Linked DNA regions of Xenopus tropicalis. The protein of the gene in region 5 purifies or fractionates together with the protein of the main gene of each other region. This does not show direct contact. Links are inferred from orthologs where the notes say so. Each region holds a gene or a part of one and is shown on either strand. Other genes may lie near its edges.

Region 1 (4,077 bases), on a different chromosome or scaffold from region 5:
TTGCCCTGGTTTCAGATCTGTCATGTAATGTAAATGAATTACTAATCAGCCTTTCACTGTTACATTTATATTCTGTATATACAGTATATTGTGAGTGGGTCCCTAAGCTCAAGTAAGTGACTGCAACACAGAGCATGTGCAGGGAATCAGCAGAAAAGAAGATGGGGGGGGGGCTACTGGAGGGCATCTTTGGGGGCACAGATCTTCCCTGCAAAAGGGCTGTTTGTGCCTTGGGCTGGTACAGAAACCCATAACATAATTCACAAAATTTCAGCCCTACTTCTTTGTTAAAAAGTGTGCACAAAAGAAATTATTTGTGTACCCTGCCAAGAAGAAATTGGTTTAAGGGCACTGCTGTATGGGGCAGATTCTGCAGTTAACTTGCAGGCCGAGAATCTGCTGTGTGGCAGTGCCCTAAAAATCCCACTGGCATGTTGATGAGGCCTACATGGGTGCCAATTATGTTTATGGCCCTAGGGAAAAAGTGGCTGTTTAGTTCAAAACTAGACAGGTGTCAACCCCCAAGTGCACTGACAAGTGATTCCTGTGTTAGTCCATTCAGTGGTCATCTTTAGTGTTTTACCAGCTGCTAGGGCTGTCCAGTGCAGCCGTAAGCACCAGACTTCTGACCTCGCCCCCCTCGTATACAGCTACACTTTTTTTCTTTTTAATATAGGCACCCCTAGCGCTGCCCTACATAAATATGGCCCATGCACCCATGAGCTAAATCATGCACAGGGGATCTTGTCTGAGCAAGATCACCTTCAGGCTGGGCTTTTAGAACTATCTCCCAAAATAAGAAATATTTCTTTAACGTTGCCCCATTTTCAGCCATGATTTCAATTTATGGCGTTTGTAACTGCTTACAAAATACAGTCTAATTCAAGATTCCAGAAACATATGGGATAAACAGTCTAGAAACTCATAACAATCCTATTGGGTGCGAATCGAATTACAACCCTTCCCCATATATTTCTACATATAACTCCCCAGCCACTGTGTCACTGCCGGTTTAACACGTTGTGTGTAAATCACGCACACATATTTGTTTATATGTTACATCACACGTTACACCCTTGGTTCACTCTACACAAAACATAACTTCTGTGGCAAAACAAACTACTAGCAACCATGGCTCAAATATCTTTAAACAGTAAGAGCTCTCGCTGCTAAGCCACAACTCAACCAATCCTCCAGCAACTATACGCTGGGCGTTTCCCAAGAACGCCCACCAATGCGCCCAGCTTCACCTTAGCAGCTGCCAATTGGAATTGCCAGTAAAGCACCAAGAGCCAATCACAAGGCTGCTTGCGATGACGGCGGTATAGCGTATGGTTTCCTCGCCGCCGCGTTGCGCATGTGCCCGGCTTTAATATGGCTACCCCTGTGGATCTAGAGCTGAAGAAGGTAATAATAATTGTATTTCATTTATACTAATGATTTTTATCATGTACGTGTTTTCATGTAAGTGTATGTTTATATAAGAATTCAGATGCTGGTGAATTCACGGTGCCTGCAGGATGAATGTGCTTTTGGCTGGAGTGCGGCCAGGCAGCTAGTGCATACGCTCGGTGGAATGCGAATGTAGTCGTTTTTGTATTTCTAGTAGGGAACTGTATTTGTAGTAAAGAATTTTGATATCATTTGATTTGTGTGTGTGTATATATATATATATATATATATATATATATATATATATATATATATATATATATATATATATACATATATATACATATACATATACATATACATACACACACATACATACATACATACATACTCACACTCTATAAACCCATAGTTCTATAAACGAACACTTGTTTTTTTCCAAATACATAAAGAAGGGAAATTTAATAAAGTATATTTACTATTAATGTAAGATTCATCCTTTTGGAAGGCACTATCTCCCAGTGCATTGTTTATTTGCAATTAAAACAGTCTTTAGAACGCAAAAACATTGCTGTTAAATCTTTGCTTACACCTAAAATTTGGGGGCTTAAGTGTTTAGTAAGATTGGAGATAAATATCACTGGTGATGTTGCCCATAGCAACCAATCAGATATTTGATTTTCATTTCTAACTTGTAGGTGACTGTTCAAATCTAATTCCTGATTGGTTGCTATGGGCAACATAGCCAGTGATATTTATCTCCAATCTTACTAAACATGCCCCTGTGTCCTACATCTGTGGTTTGCTTGACAGACTTTTTCAGTTCAAGCCCACCTTGGAGCCCAGTTAGTTCATAACAAGGTGTATGGAAATGTTGTATCAGCTATTCAGGAAGGGCTCCCGGAATACCCATTTTCACACCAAATTTCTCTCTAACTGAGCTTCTCGCTGGGTTTTTAGAAAAATAGGCCCTCAAGTGGGCCATACAGGGGCCCATTCAGACCAAGTTGACAACATATCAGCCTGTTTATGAGTAATGTGAGACTGCTTGACTGACATTTGCAAAGGATGCACTTTTACAAGCAGAGTAGTTTAAAAACTGGATAGTTTCTAAAATATTAAAAATATTACCTGCTTACACAATCTTGGGTGAAACTCAGATGTAGAGATTGGCAGTGGCTAGAAAGCATTAGCGAGGACAGCACTTAGATACAAATTGTTTAAAACCATGTTTTGTATTGCAGGCTTTCACAGAGCTTCAAGCCAAAGTTATTGATACCCAGCAGAAAGTTAAACTTGCAGATCTACAAATTGAGCAGCTAAATAGAACAAAGAAGCATGCATATCTTACCAATGCAGAAATTATGAACCTGTCTGATTCAACGCCTATGTATGAAGGAGTAGGAAGAATGTAAGTAATGCTGTTTTGCTTTAATCATACAGTCATGCATTAACTTGTCTTTTTAAGTGTAAATTGTAAAGAAAAGTAGACCTTCGGCCCACTCTCCCCTTCTCTGTTCACTCAATTTCTTTAATCTCTTAATTACGCAGTTTTACATAATATTATCTATCCTTTCCTCCATTTCTTCAGTTTCTTTTCATATAGGATTGAGTAATGGCCATGGTATACGCATACAAGGCAAATGGTTGGGTGAGCAGGAGGGCCCACTGACACTTGGGCCACCGGGAGTTTTCCTTGTATCCTGGTGGGCCAGTCAGACACTGCACAGACCTACCGATCCCTTCGAGGGCCAAAAGACAGAAAAAATACAAGGGACCATATACTCTATGGATGCCTTTCTGTTGTTCCTTGTATTCATAGGGAATGAAGGGAACAGTTCCTCATCTTCCATACACAGGCTGTAATGGGTTCTTAGCAGGTTACATATTTATACCCACCCAAATGACAAACCAATCAAAGTACATGGATATAGGCTGCCACGCACATACTGAAAATCGTTAACTGTGTTCCTATGTAATCCCCATTTGACTGTGCCAATGACTGTATTTATAGACTGGCTATTGTTAAAAACCAAGAACTTTTTGGTTTTCTTACATAACCATTGCTGTGGAGAATAGAAAGTACTTATTCATAGGCGAATGATTCAATATTAACACATTTCTAAAGGTGGAAAGCATTAAAGGCCAAAAAAAATGCATTAGTATTTCAGATGCTTTAAATGTTCCGTATGCCTTTAGAACAGAAAGTCTACATTTAGGAGGGCGTTATAGTCACTAGTATAAGTGGAACTTTATAGTTTAGGTAATCCATTGATCTCAGGGAACATGCTTATCTGCAGCTGGGAAGTCCATATATATTAAAATTTAGTTGAATGCGCTTGAATGCACTTGTGCAATAGCCCTCTACAGAGGGTTCTGAACAGCAACTTCATTGGAATAGGCCATACATAGGCAGATTTAAGTCAAGCACCAGCCTAGGGCACAGAACTCTTTTGTTTGTCTGTTTCCCCTTACTTCGGGCCCCAGTTGACTGGGAGAACTGCCAGAAGTCAGAGAGAGCAGCCGCTATTTTGCACTCGCTCGGGGGGGGAGTGGGTGCAGTATAGCCGTCGCTTACTCTTCCAGTCAGTGTGCGCTCGTTACAGGAGGGGTGGGCACGGAGCAGTGCGAGCTGGGGGGGGGGGGGGGCAAAGTTCTAAATTCGCCTGTCATTGATTTAAGCTC
Region 2 (4,088 bases), on a different chromosome or scaffold from region 5:
GACAGTGGTGTCTTTGCAATGCATACAAACAAAAAACATAATCCCAGGATGCCAGAAATAGAGCACAGTGCATTTCACAGGTTGTGCATCCTTGGGAGAAGCTATGTTCTTAGGTAACTATACAGTATATTGTGTAATGTGCACCAGCATCCATGAATTTATATATGATGCTTTGTGCTTGTGTGGAATGGGGGACTAAGTGCCTGCATAATTGTTGATTCAAAAATGGATTTATTACTAAGTTTGTTTTCTTTGCAAGAGCTTCTATAATCTTGCCAGTTAAGCATTCCCAACAATATGGATAATTTTCAGTATTTATTTCAGTATCAGCATATGCTACTGCACTACTGATTTCTATTTTCTGCACTTTATAGCAATAGCTAGAATTTAAACTATGCATACAAACTATATACAAAGTAAGCGCAATATGGAAATGAAAGTGCATGATATATTTCTTACATCTAATTAAAGCCTTAAGTACACGGATCTGCTGCAACTTGTGCCTGCCACATCTCCCTAACTTTCGTATCTGAATGATGTGCAAGTTAGGGGGCAGCAGAGAGGATGCTTTCATGCCTCTCGTGCCCATCCCTCATGAAAACACTGTTGCAGAACACAGACAGACCTCTATTCATAGGGGGAATGCAAGTCTTTGCACTCCATTCTGGAGAGCCAACACCTGCATCAAGGCAGTGTGCAAAAGATATAAAAAAATGTTGGTTTAACATCTTGAGTTTTGCAACATGCATCCTGTGCTATACTTTGTAAATAAGCCCCATTGTGTTGTTAAACTCTTCTAAATTTTGTTAACATGCTTTTAAATCCTCACCTTGAAGAAGGAAATGTTTAATCACTGGGTGGGTGCCCCCCTGTGATTGTAATCACCCATCATTGTAATCACTTACCTGATACCCCAGGCCAGTACTCCTGGTACAGAACAGCTTCTCACGCAAACCACTGCCTGGTTGCTAGGGAAAATCATACCCTAGCAACCAGATAGCTGCTGAAATACCAGTTTGGAGAGCTAAATAAAAGCTAAATAACGGAAAATGAAGACAAATTGCATATTGTCTCAGAATGTCACTGTCTACAAAATACTAAAAGATTAACTACCCCTTTAACAAAAAAGCTGTCTTTTTTGAAGAAAAAAAGAAGAAAAAAGGGGATCGCTTGCTTGCATGTACGCCTGGCCAGTTCAGTTTTCTGATAACAGGAGCACTGGTCTGGGGTATCAGGTAAAGGATTACAATCACTGGGGGTGCATAATATTTGGCTCCCCCCAGTGACTGAACCTTTACTTCTTCTTTAAGGGTTCTACTGGTCCTTCCAATACACTGTTATGTGCATGGTCATTTGCAACAGGTATATAGCATCTTGTTTTGATCTTTGATGTTTCCCCTGTGGTTTTTGACACAAATGGCCATATTTAGCTTAATGAGAAACTTATTGCCTACCGCAAGGGTTCTAGTCTGGACAAGATAAAGCATTAAATATGTTTTTACCATGAAACTGAATCAGGCCAAATTTCTGAAAGGTCTTCTTATTTGACTGAAATCACTTGAAAGTACTACATTTCCAATGCCTTAAAAATCAGGTTCCAAAGAAAGAAAGTGTTGTGGGTGCTCCTGTCCTCCAGTTGTAAGGTAACTTGGCACTAAAATATTCCTTAAAGATTGATGGGTTTTAATAGATTACAACAGATTTCCTCTTACCACTTTGCAATGTCTTAATCATTTTTAATGTGCAGATTTTTTTTAATGACCTGCTTGACTTAAATGCAGGATTGCTATATGGTTCAAATAAAATGCTACAACTTTCCTAGTGAATAGAAATCTACTGGAAATCCATGTGACTGCTATTGTATTAACAATTGCGCAGCTACTACATGGCAATAGGTAAGTAAGTATAACAGTGGCCTGTACATGTCCTAAAGAGATGCCTTTACAACTTTTTTTTTAAAAACACTGGCAAATAAATTGGCAGTGAAAAAGAGATTTGTCGGGTTTTCACCCTGTCTATACTGACAAGTAACAATTCCTTGATGCTGGGTTCAACAAGAACAGTTTGCACATAAGCTGAAAAGCAGCCAATCAGCCTCTTATTAAAAATTGAAAAATAGTTCCTTCCCAATCCATGAGAATGTATTTTCCACTGGCACACTGCCATCCAGCAGCACAGTTACTAAATCCCTAGCACCAGCACAGCTTCTGGAAGTGTACAGCAACTCACACACACACACAATGGCTGACTCGGGCAGTCACACATATCTGACATTTTACTACAATTCCTGTTTGCACTGCTTATTGTTTATAATACAGTACATAAATAAAGACACTGCCACTGCCCTTTCTCCTGCCCTCAATGTCACCTTAACTCCCACAGTAGGGCTTTAGAGGTTAAACTAACCCCTGCAGCATCCCTTGGGAAGCACCCAGCAAGAATAAAAAAAAACTGCAGGAATAACAGATCATTAAGCAAAGATGCTGCCCATGTTAACTGTGTAATGTTACACTGCACTCTGTGTAGGCTTCACCCTCTGTACCTTACACTCATAAAAAGTGCTTGCATGATCCATGCACTTCAATCAGTTCATCTCCCTGCACCTTCTACTCAAGGAGCATCATGTTCTGCTTTCAAACAGGTTCTGATGATGCTGAAAGTATATCTATACATAGCAAAGCTCTGGAGAATATACTCAGCTTTTCACTTTTCCGAAGGTGCCAACTCCTAGCGTGTCACCCAAGATGTAGTGTCCTATTTTAACCCGTCCATCGTGCTTCTGCTTCTCAGCCATCTTTGCATTCTGTTCGTCTGTGTACCCACAATGCAGCTGGCACAGGCAATGACAGGTGCGTGCCAAAGGCTGGATCCTGACAGAGCCCGTTGCAGGGACAGCCCAGTGGGCGTGGCTTCATGCCGTGCAAGAGCAGGCAGCCCTGCAAGGTCCTAAATCGCAGGAGCAATGACCAGTTGCTGCCCAGGGTACTGAAACACACGTCGCTTGGATTCGAATTTAAATTCGCTTTTCTATTTTTTTTGCAGTCCAAATGAGCTAACTATAACATATCATGTTCAATTCGTTTGGGTTTATTTATGAAAGGCTAGGCACAAGGGAAGGAGCCCTATGGTCCTCACAAACAAAATACAGTGAGAGGCAATTTGGCAATCCATTCTGGCATAGGAAGGAGGAGCACATCTGGAGAACAAGTAAATATTACATGTGGGCTAGGTGGAAAGTTAAAAGTCACAAAAATGTTTGAAGCAAAAAAGCGTGAGAAAAATGTTGCAAGAAAAGAAGATATTTTGTGTGAAAAGAAAAAAAAAAAGCAGCAAAAAATAGCCATTGACTTCAAAGTATTTTGTGCAGAAAAAAAGCAGTGGTAAAACAACCCTTTGCCTTTAAATTGAAAATTTTTCCATGGTTTAATAAATATTTCACCAAGGCAAAGAGAGACAGATCACTACCCATGTGCAGTTTGGCACCTGAACTCTGTGCCCTGCTGGCGGAATCCAGAAAGCAAGTCTTGTATTAAATGAGTCCTGTAAAATCAGGCCCAGATTTAGTGGGCATCCTTAGGCCCCTGTCACTGCTTGGCACATCTGCCACCCTTCCCATTGTGCATGCATACGCAAATTTCCCTTGTTGGGAACAGAGCACTGGGGAGCTTGATTGGCGAGCAGAGATTTAAATCAAATCTCCTGCACATCCGTAGTGCTTCGGAACCAATATAGATGCGGCTTGGTTGCATGCTGCCCCTAAAATCCTGCAGCCTTAAGCTGGCCATACACGTGGCGATCTGACCGATGGTCGCACGAAACATCGTCAGATCCGCCACACACCATTCAGGGCTGAATCGGCAGGTAAGGAGGTAGAAACAATAGGATTTCTACCTCCTTCTGCCGATTCAGCGCTGAAGGGAGATTTTGGTCAGGCACCTTCTATGGCGCCCGATCAAAATTTTCAAACTGGTCCGATCGGCGAGTCGGCCGATATCAGCAGCTTCCTGCGATATCGGTCGACTCGGCCAAAATACCATACACGCACCGAATTACGATATTATTGGTGCGTGTATGGCCACCTTTAGACC
Region 3 (2,716 bases), on a different chromosome or scaffold from region 5:
AGTTTGCCCACCCCTGGTCTAGCTCCACTGGTAGGCCAGTCTGATCCGACCACTTTCTATGCAATGGGACAATTATCCCAATTTGTAATATAGATTACATTCCAAGCGCTATGTCATTTGTAAATCAGCCATGGGAGAGCATCGAGGGCTTGGACCTCTAGCTTTGAGGTTGCAAAGGAAGCTAAACAGCTTAGGAACAATAAACAGCCAATGGATTGTTCTAACGTCCCCATATATTAGTGAAAGTTACATGTAAATAATAGCTAGCCATAAAGTACATACATGAGTCCTTATCCTTAAAAAAAAAAAAAAAAAAATCCTTTTTTTATTATATATTTGTACAAATTGCCTTTTGATATCCACATTTACTGCCCTTATTCACCAGACTGATCTATCCCAGTGGAGTTTAAGCTGCAGAATTATGGCCGGCATGCTTAAACCACTAAATTATCATGTGATCACTTCTATGTATTTCACAAGACAAGAAAAAAAATAACAAATTTAAGACAAGATGTTGAGGTTTATCTTGGGAATATGCAAAGTAGCCCAGTGCTCGATAAAATGTGCAATTAAAACTTTTGTCAACCTGAAAAATATATACAATTTATATGCGTTGACAAGGAACTATTAAAAATAATGATCACACTACGGATTGAGGTCTAACATAGTCTTGGAATCGTATGTGCAAATTGCATTGTGACAAGAGCTTTCAGCTGTTGGTCGGTCATAACTGGATTGAGACTGGAAGCATTTGGCTACAGATCACTGCATGCTTATTGCTCGATATGGATTCGCTTATGTTGCCGGAGGCCTATCGTGCAAGGATTTTTATTAAATTTGCACACATTTCAAAAAATTCTATGGTATGGCTTCCTGGCCTGGGGACTAGGTCGGCATTGGAAGAGTCCACTGATGAGGTTAAAGATGAAGGCCCTGAGCCGTCTGAAGACTTCGCTTGAATTTCAGGATCCGAGTCATTTTTTGGAGGTCGATAATTGCTAATGGAGCCTGATCGCCTAGGGGTGGCGCTTTCCGACTTGGCCTCAGTTACTTCATCTGAAAAGAACAATAGGCTTAATTATTTCCAGCAATTTATGGTGTAAAATGTATGTTGTTACTAGAATTATCTGTTATTTATAGAGTGCAGGATATATAGTGACAATTAATCTGTATATTTTTAGAGTGGGAGGAGACCATGAACTGGCCCCTACAGGATTTTCACACCTGCCACATATCAGGCTGATTTTTGGTCATATACTGGTCAGGTATGCCTGTTGGAGAGTCCTATACATGCGCAGATAAGATGCCAACCTGGCCTGAAGTGGTCGAATCAGCAGCTTCAATCTGCCCATGTATGTTCACCTTCAGACTCCCATTATCATAATGTGGTGAGCAGAATGCTACAATAGTAGTCCATGTCCCTCTGCTCCTAAATGTCTCCCTGCTTCCAGCTTTGTTAAATAGTAATAAAAGCAAAAAAATTTAATTGTGCCTTTCTTTTAGCACTTTCACCTTAACCCGATTGTTTCAGCTGGGGGAGCAGATTTGCGCTATAGGATAATGAGAAGGTAGCTGTCCACCTATAATGGAGATGCTACTGCTTCTATTCAGAGCTGGTAAGTTTTCTGTGATTGCTGAAGGCCACTTAATATATAAATTGCAATTTGCTCAATGTAAGGTTGAAGGGAGTTGCTGCTAGCAGCAGACAGGCCACACAATAGTATACTAGGAACTACTGTTGGAGGCTGTTATACACAGCAGAAAATGGCCGAATAAAAGTTCTGGAATGAGATCTAACAGCTGATATTGGGACACAGTAAAGCAGGCCACACACTGAATGATCTGGGGCTGATCTGCTAGTTTAACGTCGGGGATACAGGCCATTGGGGCAAGGACACCCATCAATGACCAGATACGGTCATCGCCCCAACAAGATTTTTTTAAACCCGTCTGATGAATATGTGCCCAATTTTTGCTGGATAAGCAAGACAGAGTGCCTCATACATGGGCAGATAAGGTGCCACTAGGAATGAAGGATCTGAATAGGAAGCCAAAATCTGCGCTGTGTGTGGCCATCTTAATTACAGCTTGGAGGAAAGTTGCAGCTCCACTAAACACTGTGAGCAGGAGCATTCTGACACAGTTTGATAGGGCTGGGAGCAGAGAGACAATGGCAGGACTCGGGCTGCTGCAGCAAAGTTCTGATTGTCACTCACAGTTATGACCATATCCTGGGAAGGAAGGAAAGGGCAAGCCCAGGTCTCACTTCATCTCTAATATTATAGCATTTTTAAGAAAAACAGTTTAAAACCATGTTTCTGGGGCACTAATCATTTAAAATAAGGTAAAATATAATACTAGGACATGAGGCTCCTTTAACACTGACGTGAACAAACATTACTGTTAGTGAGGTAATACATAAGCTACTGCATGAAGTACAATTTCAGAGGTAGAGTGCCATTCTGGGTTTAGACAAAGGCCCTTAAGTAATTAATATAAACAACTGACGGAAATGATGGGAACCCAGAGTTTTATTGCTGCGACTGCCTCTGTGACAGGCTGGTAGAAGGTAATAAAAACCATAAAAGGCATCAGCAGCCAAACATTTGGCATTACTATTCCGAAAGTAGCACAGAAATGTCACATACCGTCAATGCTGCGGAAATCCAGCAGGTAAGTTCTGCTATCCACTTGGTACAGCTGGAGGCTCATCTTA
Region 4 (4,101 bases), on a different chromosome or scaffold from region 5:
AACACACAACTTTTAGGGCAAAGACACACGGGTGATTACTCGGCACAACTTTTTAAAAAATTGTGGCGACTAATCTGCGTAGTGAAAACTCGCAGGTGTTTAGTTGCAGCAACTTCTATTTTAACCTATGGCAGAAAAGACTTTTTTAAAAGTTGCGGCGACTAATCGCCCCATGTGTCTTTGCCTTTAGAAGATCAGGGCAGCAACACATTATATCTGAATTACTTTAAAACAGTTTCATTGTTTGGTTTTACTGTTCTTTTGGAAAAATGGAAAAAGTGACTAGAACTGTCCTGTCTGAAGCCACTGTTCTGCCTGTGTATTTATACGTATTGGTTTTGGGGTCCTTTTGACATGTAGTGGAAATTTTGGGGTGTAGTAAATTGACTGGATTTAGAATCTGAATACTTGGGGCTGTTTTATGGCTCTGAGTGTGTGTATATATATATATATTTCTTTTTGCAAGAAAAAGTTTTGTCTATTGTTGTGACGTAGATGCAGCTCAGATTATATTTTATGACCAATTTGTGCATAAATCCATATAATTCCAAAGGGTTCACATACTTTTTCTTGCAACTGTATATACAGTGAGGAACATAAGTATTTAACACCCTGCAATTTTGCAAGTTCTCCCACTTAGAAATCATGGAGGAGTCTGAAATTCACATTATAGGTGCATTCCCACTGTAAGAGACAGCATTTAAAGAAAAATTCAGGAAATCACATTATATGATTTTTAAAGAATGTATTTGTATTGCACTGCTGCACATAAGTATTTGAACACCTGGCAATCAGCAAGAATTCTGGCTCTCAAAGACCTGTTACTCTGCCTTTAAATAGTCCACCTCTACTCCACTCATTAATTAAATTAGTAGCACCTGTCTGAGCTCTTTAAAGACACCTGTCCACCCGACAGTCAGTCAGACTCCAACTACTACCATGGGCAAGACCAAAGAACTGTCCAAAGACACCAGAGACAAAATTGTGGACCTCCACAAGGCTGGAAAGGGCTACGGGGCAATTGCCAAGCAGCTTGGTGAAAATAGATCAACTGTTGGATTAATTGTTAGAAAATGGAAAAGGCTAAAGACGTCAGTTTTCCTAGGACTGGGGCCCATGCAAGATCTCACCTCGTGGGGTATCACTGATGATAAGAAAGGTGAGGAATCAGCCCAGAAGAGAGCTGGGGCCACAAAGGTTACTGTCGGTAGAACACTACGCCGTCATTTGCCGAAATCACCTGCTCAGCGTGTGCCATCCCACCGGCGGCTAACATTTTCGCCGGTGGGATGGTAGTTCGGGGAGATTAGTTGCCTGTGACAAGGGAGATTTGTCGCGGGTGACTAATCTCCCCGTGTGCCAGAGCCCTAAGGCAGCACAAACAGACACTGCTCTAAATAAATAGTGACTGTCTATGGCATCTTACAGCGGCCCCTCTGGCATTTGCCAGAACCCACAGATTGCCAGTCTGGGCCTGGTTATACATACATACGAATTAGAACTATTCTGACCTGAGACAGAAAAAGGATTTTCCGAACCCTAGCAGTGCATTACTTTCATTTCAACCCTAAACTCCCAACCATGAGGGGTTGTGAGTACAACTATGAGGGAGCAGGATGCACTTACAATCCACAGACCCTGAACAGATACATGGAACTATATAGAATCAAAGATTGTGATGCTTGATCTGCAGATTTACAGGTGTTGTCCACCTTAAAATAATCTTTTAACTGCTAGCCGGATCCTTGCTATCTAAGATCCACAACTGTCAGTCTCTTGAGAACTAAACTCAAACACTACCTCTCTGAGCCCTCCTATAACATATAACCTAATTCCCAACCATTTAGACTGTAAGCTCTACAGGACAGGTACCTCCATCCTCTTCTCTCTCTAACACATAACTCTGGGCAATCTTTAAAGGAGAAAGAAAGGTAAAAACGAAGTAAGCTTTATCAGAAAGGTCTATGTAAATACAGCCATAAGCACTCACAGAAACGCTGCACTGAATTCTCTGAAAAAAGATTAGCTGTGTCTGTTTTACTCTGCCAGAGACACGCAGCTTTCTGCTTCCTGCTCTCTCCTGCTACCCCCTCCCTCAAAAATGCTAATAACTCATTCCCCGCCTTAGGAATGTGAATCTGAGCCAATCAGCAGGAAGCGGACTCATAGTCTAACTGAGCATGTTCACTTGGTCTGGGTGTCTGTGCTGGAGCGAGGCATTATGGGAACTTTCTTTACACAGCTCAGAGTTTTTTCTTCCTGTTTGGCTTCTGATCATCTGAACAGGTGAAATATGGGGAGACTTAAGGGCACTATTGAGACAACTGAGGGTATGCCTGCAGCTTGAGATTAACTCTTTATTAGCCTTTCCTTCTCCTTTAAAGCAACTAAACTTTGTATTTATTTATATTATTGTACTTTGTATGTAATGATTGTATATAATGATTGGATTATCCCCTATGTACCTGTTGTACAGCGCTGTGTACATAGGTAGCAATATATAAATATACATACACATCCTGCAGTGCTGTACAAATGGGTAAATACACTGAACACAGTTTTAGATACAAAAGCTACAAATTACCAATGCAAGAGGCACACACGGCCCTAGAGACAGAATACAGGCTACACCAGCGACTCTGCGCTATTCATTGTGTAACATGCCGGGCACAAGGCGACACCGCGCTACACGTCGGGAGATGAAGCAAACGCACAGAGTTCCCCTATTACACAGCAGCACTCAGTATAACAAACCATTCCCTGCCGCTACCCATCCGAATAAACACAATTACCGTGTCCTGTCAGAACCAACGTGCAGCTGAAGCCGCCTCTCACCCGGAAGTGATCAGAGCGCTTCCCCTGACGCCTTTCCGCCCCATCCTATTGGAGCGCTGCTTGGTTGCTATAGGGCGCATTGGGCGTTCCTGAGAGGTTTTTCCCCTGGTTTGAATCTTGCCATCTTTAGCCAGACACACCCAAAATAAAAACGCGCAGGTGTGGTTGAATGTGCCTTTGTTGGATCCTGTAACGGTAAGTACCTCTGCTAATGCTTGTGTTGCTTACTTTATATCTTGGAAAGAAACAGAGAGGAGAGCCACTTTTCCTTTGGTGCGTGTATTCTTTCTGCTCTCGTCTTCTGAGTGTCTTGTGCCTTGTGTTTCAGTGCGGGAACTAGATACTAGTGTAGGCAGAGACAGTCATAGGGGCACATTTACTAATCCACGAACGCTCCGAAGGCGCCCGAATGCGTTTTTTTTTCATAATGATCGGTATTTTTAGATTTTTTTTGTAAATTGTCGTGACTTTTTTCGTAGCCGTTGCAACTTTTTCGTAAATTGTCGCAACTTTTTCGTAGCCATTACGATTTGCGCGAATTGTCGTGACTTTTTTGTAGCCGTTGCGCCGAGTACGAAAGTTCCAGATTCATTCAAGCTTTGGTATCGTGACTTTCCTTGGGCCAGGTTGGAGCTGCAGAGTGCCATTGAGCCCTATGGGAGACTTTCCTTGGGCCAGGTTGGAGCTGCAGAGTGCCATTGAGCCCTATGGGAGACTTTCCTTTGGCCAGGTTGGAGCCGCAGAGTGCCATTGAGCCCTATGGGAGGCTTTCCTTGGGCCGGGTTGGAGCTGCAGAGTGCCATTGAGCCCTATGGGAGACTTTCCTTGGGCCAGGTTGGAGCTGCAGAGTGCCATTGAGCCCTATGGGAGACTTTCCTTGGGCCAGGTTGGAGCTGCAGAGTGCCATTGAGCCCTATGGGAGACTTTCCTTGGGCCGGGTTGGAGCTGCAGAGTGCCATTGAGCCCTATGGGAGACGTTCCTTGGGCCAGGTTGGAGCTGCAGAGTGCCATTGAGCCCTATGGGAGACTTTCCTTGGGCCAAGTTGGAGCTGCAGAGTGCCATTGAGCCCTATGGGAGGCTTTCCTTGGGCCAGGTTGGAGCTGCAGAGTGCCATTGAGCCCTATGGGAGACTTTCCTTGGGCCAGGTTGGAGCTGCAGAGTGCCATTGAGCCCTATGGGAGACTTTCCTTGGGCCGGGTTGGAGCTGCAGAGTGCCATTGATTCCTATGGGAGGCTTCCAAAATCATGCAAAGTCGCAAAGGTTT
Region 5 (2,925 bases):
GCTATTCTGATACCTACTGGGAGCTGCTATCTTGCTCCCTTCCCATTGTTCTGCTGATCGGCTGCTGGGGGTGAGGGGGGGGGGATATCACTCCAAGTTGCAGATAAGACGCCATTAATCATCTTATTGACTCTCTCTCAGCCTTTTCCACGCTGTATATTCACTTATCAAGAATAAGATCCACCGGCTGCCAGTAATGGATCCCATATCCGGAAACATCCTGCATATCCTTACGCACAAACGTCTCCTCAAGTTCCTCCACCTGTTTGTAAGTCGGGCGCCTGTAGTACCTGTGCCTGTAGTACCTGTGCCTGTAGTACATACAGTTAGTAAGTAGTGGGTATATACAGTACAAATGCTCACACTGTTCATGTCCCACAATGCACTTTGCAGGGAGACACTCTCCCAAGGCCACGGTTCTTGCAGAAGACCATCCTGGAGTTGGGCATCGGCACCTTTAGGGATGTGGCAGTCGTGCAGGACTCCTCCTCTGTCTACAACGCACTGGAAATCTTTGTAGAGAGGAGAGTTTCTGCCCTCCCCGTGGTGAATGAATCTGGTGAGTGCAGTGACTCCCCCAGACTATATTGTCCCTGCAGAACTATGCAAAACCCCAGGCCAGGCTGTTCCTGCTTTACTATCTACCTGTCCCAGGCCAGCTTGTCCCCACATTACTATGGCCAATGCCCAGGCCAGCTTATCCCCACATTACTATGGCCAATGCCCAGGCCAGCTTGTCCCCACATTACTATGGCCAATGCCCAGGTCAGCATGTCCCCACATTACTATGGCCAATGCCCAGGTCAGTATGTCCCCACATTACTATGGCCAATGCCCAGGCCAGCTTATCCCCACATTACTATGGCCAATGCCTAGGCCAGCTTATCCCCACATTACTATGGCCAATGGCTAGGCCAGCATGTCCCCACATTACTATGGCCAATGCCCAGGCCAGCTTTTCCCCACATTACTATGGCCAATGCCCAGGCCAGCTTATCCCCACATTACTATGGCCAATGCCTAGGCCAGCTTATCCCCACATTACTATGGCCAATGCCCAGGCCAGCTTATCCCCACATTACTATGGCCAATGCCCAGGCCAGCTTATCCCCACATTACTATGGCCAATGCCCAGGCCAGCTTATCCCCACATTACTATGGCCAATGCCTAGGCCAGCTTATCCCCACATTACTATGGCCAATGCCCAGGTCAGTATGTCCCCACATTACTATGGCCAATGCCCAGGCCAGCTTATCCCCACATTACTATGGCCAATGCCTAGGCCAGCTTATCCCCACATTACTATGGCCAATGCCTAGGCCAGCATGTCCCCACATTACTATGGCCAATGCCCAGGTCAGTATGTCCCCACATTACTATGGCCAATGCCCAGGCCAGCTTATCCTCACATTACTATGGCCAATGCCTAGGCCAGCATGTCCCCACATTACTATGGCCAATGCCCAGGTCAGTATGTCCCCACATTACTATGGCCAATGCCTAGGCCAGCATGTCCCCACATTACTATGGCCAATGCCTAGGCCAGCATGTCCCCACATTACTATGGCCAATGCCTAGGCCAGCTTATCCCCACATTACTATGGCCAATGCCTAGGCCAGCATGTCCCCACATTACTATGGCCAATGCCCAGGTCAGTATGTCCCCACATTACTATGGCCAATGCCTAGGCCAGCTTATCCCCACATTACTATGGCCAATGCCTAGGCCAGCATGTCCCCACATTACTATGGCCAATGCCTAGGCCAGCTTATCCCCACATTACTATGGCCAATGCCCAGGCCAGCTTGTCCCCACATTACTATGGCCAATGCCTAGGCCAACAAGCAGTACTATGCACAACACCAGGGCCAAACAGTCCATATTTTTTCTCCTTGCCCCACAGTGTTCCATTCCCCTCAGTATAACCTTTATGTGCTTGTTTTGCAGGGCAGGTGGTCGGACTCTATTCCCGCTTTGATGTAATAGTGAGTATCCTTCCCTTCCCATAATGCATGCAGAGCCATAACCTTGCCCCCCAGAGAGGCTGAGCTTTCCCTGTAGCCTTAGCTTATAGACAGCACCCTGCCCTGGGTGCCACATCTGGGTACATTTGTCCCTTCCCTTTCAGCACCTTGCGGCACAGAAGATCTATAACAACCTGGATATCAGCGTACGAGATGCCCTGCGCTTGCGTTCTCTGAGTATTGAGGGGGTCCTCATGTGTTACCCCCATGAAAGTCTGGAGGTGGTCATTGATCGAATTGTCCGAGAACAGGTAAGTACCATTATACCAAAGGTGGGCTCTGGGTGCTCTTCAAGCTGTAGTACCTCCCCCAGCCTGCAGAGGGAGGAGCTCCATAATAATAATAATAAAGACACATGGTTATGGAAACAAAACCCAGAATGTTCTAAGTTTCTCTCAAACAATCCTATGGGATCTCCTGTCATTCCTCTTCCTCCCAATCCCAGATTCATCGCCTGGTTCTGGTGGATGAAGACCATCGGCCTCGGGGTATTGTGTCTCTCTCTGACATTCTGCAGGCACTGGTGCTCACTCCCGCAGGTATTGATGCCCTTAATTCCTAACCCTGGGAAGGCTCTTTTCTACCTTCACCCTGAACCTCCTCTTCCTCTCAGAGGCACAGGTAGGCTCCCCATTGGCGGCAGTCAGGAGCAACGTGGGTGCTGGAGACTGTCTGCACTGCTCCTCTCTGCACTCTCTGCCGTGTGTCTGACTTGGCTCTGATGAACACCCCCTTCCTTTGTACTTGGCAGTGTGAACCCCACAACTCAGAGACCCCTTATGTTAACCCCTACACTTGTGTGGATCCCTGTTTCTGTCCTTGGGCCCCTACATCAGCCAAACAACCAAGTCTACTTGGCCACATTGGGAACCCCCCTTGGAAAGTGGTACATACCCAGG
Region 6 (3,500 bases), on a different chromosome or scaffold from region 5:
CAGACTGTGCATTTCACCACATGCTGATGAAGTTTGCCGTCCAAATTAATAAGAGACTGGCACACGCGACAGTTTATCACAGGAACTCCGCTGGCATCTGGGCTGGCAATGGCTGTATATGGAGGTGGCAATTCAGCTGCACAGAGACAATATTTCTTGTAAACCACACATCAACATTTGTTATACAAAAGAACAGACGGCAGTACAAACAGTAAGCACAACAGCAATAAGGACAGAATGAGATTAGCCACAAATCATTCATTCTGCTTGTTGCTATTCTTACATTTGCAATATAATCAAGGGTTGGGTTCACTTAATGCCATCACAAGAGCCATTAGCAGCCATTGTTTCTAATGCACGTTTTGCGAGAGCTGTGCTTTGTCTGACACACCTTTCTCTGACTGAGGCCTGAGATACTTAAGAGCTAAATGTGCTTCTGCTGTTCCCTATTAATAAGCACTGAATAGAGAAACCTGTAATATATAATTCTACAAGCTCATAATGAATTCTGAAAGTAATGATCCTTATAGAGCAGGGATGGAGCTTTCAAATACATTTCTCTCCATACAGCAATCTATATAATTACTCGCTCTTCAGTCAAAGAAGCCAAGATGTAAAACTAAAAAGGTTCTAATGATGCCTGTTGGTTTAAATTATAAAAGAAAAAAAACATACCGTAATAGTATGAGACATCATAATAACAACAGTAGTGCCTCAGCTCTGTTTTGAAACAGAATGCCTCCAAAAGTCTAAATTATTACTAAATAATGATGATTAGCTATTTGCCTTTCCTAATGCCTGTGAGTCTGTTCTACTACATAACACCCTCAAGCACAAATGATAAAAGGCGATCAGTGGTCTACTCTTAGCGCTTCCCATGCTAGTCAGTATGAAGCAATCCACTAGTGGTGCTGATCATATGCCTTATGTACCATAGCCCTAATCATTGATTTTCCAGTTCATGGTTTAAAAAGCCAAGAGGTCAGGCACAGGGAATGTGAAGAACATTACAGATAGGAAAGACATTGTGGGATAATGTAAACCAATTAAAATAGTGGGTATAGGGGGTGATTATGGGATTGGGGTTGACTGGAAATTGAACTTATCAGTTTGCATAGTAAGTAACCAGGTGAGGATGAGCTGATGAATTCTGTGTTTTACTCCCATTGACAGCCAAGGATAAAAAGAAGGAGGAGTGGAGAGTTCTCTGGACCAGAGGTCCTCTGTGGCATCCTTTGGGAACTTGGGCTCCAGCCCAATTAGTAGCTTGATTAAAACCATAATCGTTTGAGACTTCACAATAGCAACAGTAGTGCCTCAGCTCAGCATTTATTTTAAAACAGAATGCCTCTAAAATCTAAAATTATACTAAATAATGGTGTGCCATACTTCAAAATGACTCCATTAGCTTATTGCCTTTTTTCAAATGCCTTACCGATGATTCTGTTCTGCTATGGAACGTACTGAATCATAAGTCCAATGTTTTACTCTCTGCACTTCCTATTCTAGTCAGTATGAAGCAATACACCTAATAGTGATCAAATGCCTCATGTGCTATAGCCCTAGCCACTGCTTATTTGCTTGCTTGCTTTGTCAGTTCTGCCATAATTCACACACTCATGTTCCTCTTCCTGCCTTACATATACTATCAAATCGGCATGTACTTCATATGCTGCTTCATCCCTCTGTTAGTCCACCTTGTGTGCATTATGTACCTCACCTGACTGACCCCTCTCTAAGGAAAGGCAGCTAAAGTCCTTTCTTTGGTGCATATAGGACTAAATGTTGCCAAGCGAATGGATCTTCTCCCGATATCTTCTACCTACGGGTGGGCGATATCGGGCAAATTCAGCCAAATTTGATCGTTTGGCCTTGGGGCCAAACGATTGAATTAGAACGACAGTAATAGGCACAGTCAGTTTGGGGGCTGCATCAACGAGCCAATGCAGTCCCTGATCTGACTAAATTTTTCAAACTGGCCGATCGATATCTGGCCCATTTCAGGCCAGATATCGTTCGGGCAGGCCCAACGTTAGTGCCCCTACACGGGCAAATAAGCTGACGAATCTATGGGGCTGATATCGGCTGATATCGGCAGCTAGAATCAGCCCGTGTATGGCAGCCTTAAGCTGCCCATTGCCTAATAGGTGTAGTCCCGGGAAGATAACTCCCTCAGTACAAAAACACAATCACAATGTTCCTTGTGTAGGCTATAATGCACATTCAGTTGTGAAATATCAAGAGGTTTTAAAAAGCCAAGTGGGTAGGTGCAGGGAATATAATAAGCAAATATAATGTGGGATAATGTAACCAGATTTAAAAAAACAGTAGGAAACTAAAATTATCATTTTATATAGTAAGAAACATAGAGACACCAGGTAAGGATGAGCTGATCAATTTTGTGCATTACTCTCATCAGCAGAGCCAAGAGGTCTTTTGGAATCCTTTGGAAACTTGGGTTCCAGCCCAGTTAAGGACAGGTGGTTGTTGCATTTTATAACAAATGATACAAAGGGCACTTGAAAATTCATGTATGGAGGCCATCTTTATTAAACAAATGGGACAATCACAAAGTCAGGTTCCATTGGCTGTACCAAGATACTGTTGGCCTGGAAAAGCATGTCCCTGGTTCTGCAAATTGAATTCAGTAGTAAGCAATGTGGAATGCCCAAATTCCAAACTGACTGCTTTGGTAGAAATAAAATGTTAGGCTGAGGGATAAAAATAAACCATATAACAGTTCAAGAAAAGGAAAAAATATGTTTAATTACTTTAGACATCGGTAATGAAACATCATGTGTTTTCCTGTTGTTCCACAGGACAATATCTACATATTTTACTACATAATGTTTGGGCATGTCAGTATTACAGTGATCCCATGCTTGAATGTGATTTCAACATATTTGGGCCTTTTTAGCTATTTTACCTTTTCATATATTCCTGTTGTAACCTGGATTTTAAGAGACCTGTATTCTACGAGTTGTTGCCGTCACTGACAGTGTACCTTATTATTCATATGGATTCATATGCTTCATGTATTTTATTATATGATCTCTGGCCTACTTATATTTCATATCTTTTTGTAGTATCCACAACACTAGCCACTGGCTTCAACCAATAGGTTGAAAGCATTTTAATGCTCTGACAGTTCCTCTTTAACCAAGGAAATTGCAACCTGTGGACAGCCGATTGAGACATAGAGCCATCTCCTGAACATTATCCTTTAACATACAAATTACATGACACAACCCAGCCTGATATTCATAAATAGATGACAGTCATGTAAGTCCATTATCTTCATGTGACCATGTCAAGCTGTACAGATGCTGAAGTTACCTCCACTTGACAAGGACATGAGGGTAACAGAGAAAGGACATGAGGGTAACAGAGAAAGACATCTTCTAAAGTTCTACTGTAAACTAGAACATTGGTACATTATTTGTAAATTGTGAAGTTTAATTAGCAACAATAATGACTGTTTGCGACAGTAGTTTTAGGGC

The links.
Region 1: the proteins of prkag3 (region 5) and pfdn1 purify together in Homo sapiens (affinity purification with mass spectrometry; 3 studies listed by BioGRID and IntAct, counting the BioPlex papers as one, with this or other methods). This does not show direct contact. The link is inferred for Xenopus tropicalis from reciprocal best matches to the Homo sapiens genes PRKAG3 and PFDN1.
Region 2: the proteins of prkag3 (region 5) and prkaa2 purify together in Homo sapiens (affinity purification with mass spectrometry; 3 studies listed by BioGRID and IntAct, counting the BioPlex papers as one, with this or other methods). This does not show direct contact. The link is inferred for Xenopus tropicalis from reciprocal best matches to the Homo sapiens genes PRKAG3 and PRKAA2.
Region 3: the proteins of prkag3 (region 5) and prkaa1 purify together in Homo sapiens (affinity purification with mass spectrometry; 3 studies listed by BioGRID and IntAct, counting the BioPlex papers as one, with this or other methods). This does not show direct contact. The link is inferred for Xenopus tropicalis from reciprocal best matches to the Homo sapiens genes PRKAG3 and PRKAA1.
Region 4: the proteins of prkag3 (region 5) and pfdn6 purify together in Homo sapiens (affinity purification with mass spectrometry; 3 studies listed by BioGRID and IntAct, with this or other methods). This does not show direct contact. The link is inferred for Xenopus tropicalis from reciprocal best matches to the Homo sapiens genes PRKAG3 and PFDN6.
Region 6: the proteins of prkag3 (region 5) and pip4p2 purify together in Homo sapiens (affinity purification with mass spectrometry; 3 studies listed by BioGRID and IntAct, with this or other methods). This does not show direct contact. The link is inferred for Xenopus tropicalis from reciprocal best matches to the Homo sapiens genes PRKAG3 and PIP4P2.

The regions. Positions count from the first base shown.
Region 1 is NC_030679.2:31,788,222-31,792,298, forward strand, and holds the start of pfdn1 (prefoldin subunit 1), read left to right. Parts: upstream 1-1,277; 5' UTR 1,278-1,374; coding exon 1,375-1,407; intron 1,408-2,636; coding exon 2,637-2,803; intron 2,804-4,077. UniProt on the Homo sapiens protein: Binds specifically to cytosolic chaperonin (c-CPN) and transfers target proteins to it. Binds to nascent polypeptide chain and promotes folding in an environment in which there are many competing pathways for nonnative proteins.
Region 2 is NC_030680.2:87,584,478-87,588,565, forward strand, and holds the start of prkaa2 (5'-AMP-activated protein kinase catalytic subunit alpha-2), read right to left. Parts: upstream 2,801-4,088; 5' UTR 2,795-2,800; coding exon 2,701-2,794; intron 1-2,700. UniProt on the Homo sapiens protein: Catalytic subunit of AMP-activated protein kinase (AMPK), an energy sensor protein kinase that plays a key role in regulating cellular energy metabolism.
Region 3 is NC_030677.2:195,924,061-195,926,776, reverse strand, and holds the end of prkaa1 (5'-AMP-activated protein kinase catalytic subunit alpha-1), read right to left. Parts: coding exon 2,649-2,716; intron 1,057-2,648; coding exon 812-1,056; 3' UTR 501-811; downstream 1-500. UniProt on the Homo sapiens protein: Catalytic subunit of AMP-activated protein kinase (AMPK), an energy sensor protein kinase that plays a key role in regulating cellular energy metabolism.
Region 4 is NC_030684.2:72,102,784-72,106,884, reverse strand, and holds the start of pfdn6 (prefoldin subunit 6), read right to left. Parts: upstream 2,801-4,101; 5' UTR 2,793-2,800; intron 2,762-2,792; exon of another isoform or gene 2,585-2,761; intron 1-2,584. UniProt on the Homo sapiens protein: Binds specifically to cytosolic chaperonin (c-CPN) and transfers target proteins to it. Binds to nascent polypeptide chain and promotes folding in an environment in which there are many competing pathways for nonnative proteins.
Region 5 is NC_030685.2:83,071,880-83,074,804, reverse strand, and holds part of prkag3 (5'-AMP-activated protein kinase subunit gamma-3), read left to right. Parts: intron 1-141; coding exon 142-268; intron 269-393; coding exon 394-559; intron 560-1,949; coding exon 1,950-1,987; intron 1,988-2,130; coding exon 2,131-2,277; intron 2,278-2,471; coding exon 2,472-2,565; exon of another isoform or gene 2,566-2,647; intron 2,648-2,925. UniProt on the Homo sapiens protein: AMP/ATP-binding subunit of AMP-activated protein kinase (AMPK), an energy sensor protein kinase that plays a key role in regulating cellular energy metabolism.
Region 6 is NC_030682.2:126,740,926-126,744,425, forward strand, and holds part of pip4p2 (type 2 phosphatidylinositol 4,5-bisphosphate 4-phosphatase), read right to left. Parts: intron 137-3,500; coding exon 1-136. UniProt on the Homo sapiens protein: Catalyzes the hydrolysis of phosphatidylinositol-4,5-bisphosphate (PtdIns-4,5-P2) to phosphatidylinositol-4-phosphate (PtdIns-4-P).